Xenopus tropicalis: one gene and its partner. The protein of the gene in region 2 interacts with the protein of the main gene of each other region in a biochemical or structural test. Links are inferred from orthologs where the notes say so. Each region holds a gene or a part of one and is shown on either strand. Other genes may lie near its edges.

What was found.
Region 1: the proteins of pias2 (region 2) and sumo3 form a complex in vitro, tested with the Homo sapiens proteins (2 studies listed by BioGRID, with this or other methods). The link is inferred for Xenopus tropicalis from reciprocal best matches to the Homo sapiens genes PIAS2 and SUMO3.

The regions. Positions count from the first base shown.
Region 1 is NC_030685.2:55,089,621-55,093,896, reverse strand, and holds the start of sumo3 (small ubiquitin-related modifier 3), read right to left. Parts: upstream 2,921-4,276; 5' UTR 2,899-2,920; coding exon 2,878-2,898; intron 1-2,877. UniProt on the Homo sapiens protein: Ubiquitin-like protein which can be covalently attached to target lysines either as a monomer or as a lysine-linked polymer. Does not seem to be involved in protein degradation and may function as an antagonist of ubiquitin in the degradation process.
Region 2 is NC_030677.2:206,564,541-206,568,626, reverse strand, and holds the start of pias2 (E3 SUMO-protein ligase PIAS2), read right to left. Parts: upstream 2,918-4,086; 5' UTR 2,834-2,917; coding exon 2,810-2,833; intron 1-2,809. UniProt on the Homo sapiens protein: Functions as an E3-type small ubiquitin-like modifier (SUMO) ligase, stabilizing the interaction between UBE2I and the substrate, and as a SUMO-tethering factor.

The DNA of each region.
Region 1 (4,276 bases), on a different chromosome or scaffold from region 2:
CCAAGGAAAGTCATGATACTGAAGCTTGAATGAATCCGAAACTTTTGTACTCGTTGGGACAAATACGATTTTGTCGCGCAAGTTGTACAAAAATGTTGCGTAAATTAACGAAAAATCGCAAAAAATACGCACAGTTCTAAAACTTAAAAAAAATACTAATTTTTTGTATTCGGACTTTGATGAATGTGCCCCAAAGTGTTACACAAGGTTCCGCACATGCTTGCAGAGCAACTAATAGCCCTCTGATATACATAAACAAAAAATATCAGGGCATATATTGACTACTGCCATCCCCTCCAGAGACTGTCACCACTTTATTCCATAATAAAAAGCAGCTGCTGGGCTCATGCATGTTCTAAACACTTATCCTTGCCATGCCACTGTGCCATTCCCTACAGTGGCTTCTGCTATGCTCCACAATACAATTACTGGCCCTTACAAGCAATCACATGGTCTACAAGTCCTTCCCAGCTCTGCCTAATACATATTAATTACTACATAAAATTAGAGGCAGAACATGCTTAAGCTATTTTAGTTTGCCTGGTTTGCGTTAATTCACCCACAACAAATGAAAGTACCCCCCATCAAGTGCCCAACCCAACTGGGCCTAAATGAAACCTACTGGCACCGCAGGCAAACACACTGTTTACTGAAGCAATATCACCCATAACCCATATGTGAAAGAAATGGATAGCACAGCTATATGGCACGTACACACACAGGCAGGGCAGGGAAGGAGACAGGGATATCTATCAAGGTCTATGTAAGTATCTGATCATGACCACTCCAAGATGAACATTTTGTACTGCAGTATATACAGTGACAACGCCAGCACTGCTCCTACAAAGACTTAATAGACTACCCATAGAGACAAAAACAGCCTGACTTCAGCCATTAAGCCTCTGGGTCACTTAAATGTTTCAGCTCTCAAGTCTGGAATGGAAAATTTTATCTGCCCGTGATATCTGCCCCCCCAACAGCACCTTACTTGTATTCCCTGTACCAGCTCCAAAAGCACAGAGCTGAGTAGAACAGTTAGTAGCTGCCAGGTCTGCCCATATTACTTGACCCCATATTGTACTGTGGCGATCTGCAAAGTGGTCAGGACCACCAGTCGGTCGCTAGTGTGAATACTGCTGGCTTCCAATAACATGATATAAAATGTAAAGTAAGAGCTCTAGATGAGACTCTGGATTACAGTTAAAGGAGACATTAGATAAATGGGAAAACCCTAACCCTGTAGGCAATTATGAATAATATACAGTGCTGGTTTCCCTTTGTGCTAAATATGAATCCTATCTGTAACAATGGCCCCTTTATTGGAGCTCCCTATAGATCCCATTGCTTCTCTGTCGGTGTGTGAAATGAAGAGTGGGCGTGTCCTAACGGTCCCTGCCAGAAGCACAGTAGGAGGGGGATAGCCAATCACAGCCCTGCACTCACACAAGCAAAGACAGGCTTCAATTCCCTATCAGGTCAGCCTAGCTGCTGATTGGTTCCTATCCTACAGTGCAGGGTACTGAGGGCCGCCGGCTCCCCAGCTCATCCAGAGAATTCAGCCAGCAGGAAGTGGAACAGATGGGCGGGGCTAGTGGGGTTTTGTGGAATTTCTCAATAAATCAGTCTGAAACACAACTTTTTAAGCACAATCCTTCTATATCTAGAGGAGTATAATTCACTGGTACATTCTTAATTTTTATAGGATATGTCTCCTTTAAGGCAATACCAAACTGAATATTTTAAAGGAGACATATTGGATAAAGGAAAACACTTCTAATCTTGTAGGCAATTATGAATTATATATGGGGCTGGATTTACTTTGAGCTAAAACATAATACTGTCTGTAAAAAATGGTGCTCCCTATAAATCCTCCAAGGTCCTTGTCTGTGTTTCAAATGAGGGGTGGGAGTGTCCTAAAGGACCCCGCCAGAAGCACAGCAGGAGAGGGGAGAGCCAATCACAGTCCTGCACTCACACAAGCAACAGGCTTCAGTTCCCTATCAGGTCAGTCTAGCTGCTGATTGGTTCCTACCCTACAGTGCTGTGTGCTACAGGCCCCCCTGCACAGCCTGGGAAAGGAGGCAGTAGGAAGTGGAACAGATGGGCGGGGCTAGTGGGTTTGGGGGAGGAGTATAATGTGCTGCTACATTCTATTTCGCATGAGGTCTCCTTTAAGGCGGTTTTTATCAAATGAACCTAGCTGGCAGCACGCACAATGCTATTAAGGTATTATTAGGTAGTATTTCCATCGGTATAGGTGTATCCTGGTGCTTTCCCCATATGACTTGTGTAGGGTATGTCACTAGCAGCCCAATGCAAGGCTTCGGAAGTTGCAGAAACACAATTGTCAGGTTCCCTCCCCCCGAGCAATGGGACACACAATATGGTGAGGTTGGTGCCAAGGGGAATAATGGGAACGCTAATGTCTGTGGGCAGTACAGAGACACACGGGGAGACATGAGGAAATGGAGCCGCACTGTAACACGTGTGTCCCCTGGGCCATGGGATTTGCAACCAACTCGCAGCTCGGCCCAACATGGCGGCAGCTCAGCGCCGGACGGAGCACCGTGTCAGTCACACCAACATGACGGTATAACGCACCGGGCCTGCCCTTTGGGTCGGTACCACAAGCCAAAGCGACAGGCCCACGTACTGTATTTCTAAAACAAGAAGCAATCGTACTCTTGAGAGGCGTTATTAAGTGAGCCCAGGCAGCAGGCATCCCCGGAGAGGCCAGCACGCTTACACCAGCCCGGCTCCAATGTCTCTGCCTGATGTCCGTGCCCACAGCCCGGCCTCTGCGCGTAGGGCCCGACTGACCCTTTCCTTGCTCGTTCCGCCCTAGCCCCGATAGGGAAAAGCCGCTATCTCGCTTACCTTGGGTTTCTCTTCAGACATGATTGCCCTTTTCTAGCTCTCCCGCTCTTTTTCTGTCTGTGAAGGTTTTTTCCTCTCTAACGCTTATTCGCGGGGGCGCGCTTCACCCCCAACATTATAACGCGGTGCGATAGGCGAAAGGGGGGTCACGTGACCTTAATGCGCGTTCACGATGCGCGCGACCATGGTTCCCATCCCCCTACGCGCAACCCCGCCCAGTTCCAACTATTCCATTAACGCGGTGAGTTGGTGACGGGAGCGCGCTCAGACACTAGTGTGGGGGAAGGGAGGGAAGCTGAGCGCAATGTAACAAGAAGGAAGATGCAGAGAAAGGGGACATAGTATTGCAATTAGTTTCCCACCCCTTCAATAAATAAGCGCTTGTGCGCTGTATAACGTGTAACCTTCAGCCCAGGCTCCTGGGTGTGAAACACGTGACTCTCCCAGAACATGGACAGAATGAAGCTCTGTGACTGGAACTGCGGGACTGTGTGGAGCAGCATTTCCTCTCACAATTGCATGCAGTGCCAGAAGTGTTATCATTGGGTCATTATAGCAAAGAGATGACTGCATGCACCACTTGGTGCAACTTTCATGTCAATAAAGACAGTAGCCAAGCGTTCAGGGTGCACATTTTCACATGGTAATGCAACATTGCAAGTTTAGTGTATTAGTGATCCAAATGCCGCTGGAAACCTATGTAGGGTTGACAGCTGACTCATGAAAATTATGCTTGATTCCAATGTTATCAGTAGGGCTCAAAGATAAAAGTATGGGAAGTATTTTAAATCCAGTAAATGTGAAAACCCTAGTCCTAGGTTTGATTCCAGTCATCTTGCTCAGTTTGTAACTTCTCTCAGTGGGTTTTCTCCAGATACTCCACTTTCCTCTAATAATAAGAACATACAGGTAGATAAAGTGGCCCCATCAACACTATGGGGCACATTTATCAAAGTACAATTGTTTCCGAATACAAATAATTCATATTTTTTCTAAGTTTTCTTACTGTGCGTTTTTTTGCGACTTTTTTATTAATATGCACAACTTTTTCATACTTTGACAATTTGCACAACAAAATCGTATTTGTCGCAACAAGTATGAATGTTTCGGATTCATCAGCTTCAGTATCGTGACTTTCCTTGGGCCAGGTTGGAGCTGCAGAGTGCCATTGAGCCCTATGGGAGGCTTTCCTTGGGCCAGGTTGGAGCTGCAGAGTGCCATTGAGCCCTATGGGAGACTTCCCTTGGGCCGGGTTGGAGCTGCAGAGTGCCATTGAGCCCTATGGGAGACTTTCCTTGGGCCAGGTTGGAGCTGCAGAGTGCCATTGAGCCCTATGGGAGACTTTCCTTGGGCCGGGTTGGAGCTGCAGAGTGCCATTGAGCCCAATGGGAGACTTTCC
Region 2 (4,086 bases):
ACTGTCACAGTGTAACTGTGCCATTCCCACCCTTGGCTCTCCTCTTGGCTCTATTACCCAGCATGCCTCACTGTCACAGTGTAACTGTGCCATTCCCACCCTTGGCTCTCCTCATAGCTATATTACCCAGCATGCCTCACTGTCACAGTGTAACTGTGCCATTCCCACCCTTGGCTCTCCTCTTGGCTATATTACCCAGCATGCCTCACTGTCATAGTGTAACTGCGCCATTCCCACCCTTGGCTCTCCTCTTGGCTATATTACCCAGCATGCCTCACTGTCACAGTGTAACTGTGCCATTCCCACCCTTGGCTCTCCTCTTGGCTATATTACCCAGCATGCCTCACTGTCACAGTGTAACTGTGCCATTCCCACCCTTGGCTTTCTCTTGGCTATATTACCCAGCATGCCTCACTGTCACAGTGTAACTGTGCCATTCCCACCCTTGGCTCTCCTCTTGGCTCTATTACCCAGCATGCCTCACTGTCACAGTGTAACTGTGCCATTCCCACCCTTGGCTCTCCTCTTGGCTATATTACCCAGCATGCCTCACTGTCACAGTGTAACTGTGCCATTCCCACCCTTGGCTCTCCTCTTGGCTCTATTACCCAGCATGCCTCACTGTCACAGTGTAACTGTGCCATTCCCACCCTTGGCTCTCCTCTTGGCTATATTACCCAGCATGCCTCACTGTCACAGTGTAACTGTGCCATTCCCACCCTTGGCTCTCCTCTTGGCTCTATTACCCAGCATGCCTCACTGTCACAGTGTAACTGCGCCATTCCCACCCTTGGCTCTCCTCTTGGCTATATTACCCAGCATGCCTCACTGTCACAGTGTAACTGTGCCATTCCCACCCTTGGCTTTCTCTTGGCTATATTACCCAGCATGCCTCACTGTCACAGTGTAACTGCGCCATTCCCACCCTTGGCTTTCTCTTGGCTATATTACCCAGCATGCCTCACTGTCACAGTGTAACTGTGCCATTCCCACCCTTGGCTCTCCTCTTGGCTATATTACCCAGCATGCCTCACTGTCACAGTGTAACTGTGCCATTCCCACCCTTGGCTTTCTCTTGGCTATATTACCCAGCATGCCTCACTGTCACAGTGTAACTGCGCCATTCCCACCCTTGGCTTTCTCTTGGCTATATTACCCAGCATGCCTCACTGTCACAGTGTAACTGTGCCATTCCCACCCTTGGCTTTCTCTTGGCTATATTACCCAGCATGCCTCACTGTCACAGTGTAACTGTGCCATTCCCACCCTTGGCTTTCTCTTGGCTATATTACCCAGCATGCCTCACTGTCACAGTGTAACTGTGCCATTCCCACCCTTGGCTCTCCTCTTGGCTCTATTACCCAGCATGCCTCACTGTCACAGTGTAACTGTGCCATTCCCACCCTTGGCTCTCCTCTTGGCTATATTACCCAGCATGCCTCACTGTCACAGTGTAACTGTGCCATTCCCACCCTTGGCTCTCCTCTTGGCTCTATTACCCAGCATGCCTCACTGTCACAGTGTAACTGTGCCATTCCCACCCTTGGCTCTCCTCTTGGCTATATTACCCAGCATGCCTCACTGTCACAGTGTAACTGTGCCATTCCCACCCTTGGCTCTCCTCTTGGCTATATTACCCAGCATGCCTCACTGTCACAGTGTAACTGCGCCATTCCCACCCTTGGCTCTCCTCTTGGCTATATTACCCAGCATGCCTCACTGTCACAGTGTAACTGCGCCATTCCCACCCTTGGCTCTCCTCTTGGCTATATTACCCAGCATGCCTCACTGTCACAGTGTAACTGTGCCATTCCCACCCTTGGCTTTCTCTTGGCTATATTACCCAGCATGCCTCACTGTCACAGTGTAACTGTGCCATTCCCACCCTTGGCTTTCTCTTGGCTATATTACCCAGCATGCCTCACTGTCATAGTGTAACTGCGCCATTCCCACCCTTGGCTCTCCTCTTGGCTATATTACCCAGCATGCCTCACTGTCACAGTGTAACTGTGCCATTCCCACCCTTGGCTCTCCTCTTGGCTCTATTACCCAGCATGCCTCACTGTCACAGTGTAACTGTGCCATTCCCACCCTTGGCTCTCCTCTTGGCTCTATTACCCAGCATGCCTCACTGTCACAGTGTAACTGTGCCATTCCCACCCTTGGCTCTCCTCTTGGCTATATTACCCAGCATGCCTCACTGTCACAGTGTAACTGCGCCATTCCCACCCTTGGCTCTCCTCTTGGCTATATTACCCAGCATGCCTCACTGTCACAGTGTAACTGCGCCATTCCCACCCTTGGCTCTCCTCTTGGCTATATTACCCAGCATGCCTCACTGTCACAGTGTAACTGTGCCATTCCCACCCTTGGCTTTCTCTTGGCTATATTACCCAGCATGCCTCACTGTCACAGTGTAACTGTGCCATTCCCACCCTTGGCTTTCTCTTGGCTATATTACCCAGCATGCCTCACTGTCATAGTGTAACTGCGCCATTCCCACCCTTGGCTCTCCTCTTGGCTATATTACCCAGCATGCCTCACTGTCACAGTGTAACTGTGCCATTCCCACCCTTGGCTCTCCTCTTGGCTCTATTACCCAGCATGCCTCAGTGCATGTCTATATGCTAGAGGCTGGGAGACAGTGTGCCAAGCCCATGCCAAGGCTCAGTGCCCAGGGAGGGGACACACATGATGCATAATGGCAGCACTCATTTAGTCTGTGCCAGCTACAGTCCCTGTTTATCCCCTTCCCTCTGCCTCCTCTCACACTGACAGCCACCTGCCCCCCCCCCCTTGCTCTCCTCACCCGCAGCTCCTCGGTGTCCGCCATCTTCTCCAGGCACCATCCTGCGGCCAGCGGGCTAGAGTGGGGGAAGGGAACGGGAGAGGTGGGGGGATGGTCAGTTTATGGGAGGAGCCATCGGGGGCGCGCAAAGCGTGTGCAGGAGATCTCTGAGGGAAAACGGGGAAGCGCGGGAATGAGGGTCCGTCCATGTGCGGGGGCTGCTCATGAATGGGTTATGGAGGCACAGAGGGATAGATACAGAGACTGTTACATAGTTGTCAGATAGATACAGGCATGAATAGGTAACAGGTGACTGATAAATCCACACAGATAATATGTGTCACCACACACTGATATGTGTCACCACACACTGATATGTGTCACTACACACAGATTATAGTTTGGTTGCCACCCCTGATGGAAATATCCTATTCTCCCCCCTCCCCTGAATTTGTATAAACCTCCCCGCCCCCACAATAGTGACATAAATAAAGGGGTGAAGGTTCATCTCCACTGTGAGGTTCCACCAGATAAGGTCTGCTTCCATGTGGCCAGAAATTCCAGCGTCCCATAAATCCCAAAGTAATACTAGGCTGAAAGCAGGAATGGGGGCCAAGGCCCTGGTGATATGGTGGGGTTGCACCGGTGCCCAAATACTCTTAGTTCTGCCACTGGGTCTAAAGCTGGCCATACGCGCACCAGTATTATCATACGAAACCTCGTTTCATACGCTATTCGGTGCGTGTATGGCGGCTCGAAGAGGCGGCCGATATCACAGAAGGCTGCGGATATCGGTCGATTGCCCAGGTTCAAGCAAAATCTACATTCAGGGCTGAATTGCCAGGTGGAGGTAGAATTTCTATTGTTTCTGGGAACGATCTTTAAAGATCGGAATTGCTACGTGTATGGCCACAGTAGTAACATCAAAAAATGTAAGTGTTTTAAAGTAATTTAATGTGCTGTTGCTCTGCAAAAAACTGGTGTTTTTTGCTACACAAAAGCTACTATATAAATAAGCTGCTGTGTAGCCATGGGGGCAGCCATTCAAGCTGGAAAAAAGGAGAAAAGGCACAGGTTACATAGCAGATAACTAGTAGATAAGCCCCATATAATGTGGGTTTATCTGTTATCTGCTAAGTAACCTGTGCCTTTTCTCCTTTGAATGGCTGCCCCCATGGCTACACAGCAGATTACTTATATAAACTATAGTAGTCTTTCTGAGGCAAACACACCAGTTGTAGCAATGCAGGGCAACAGTACATTATATTGTAATTACTTTTATACACTTTCATTTTTTG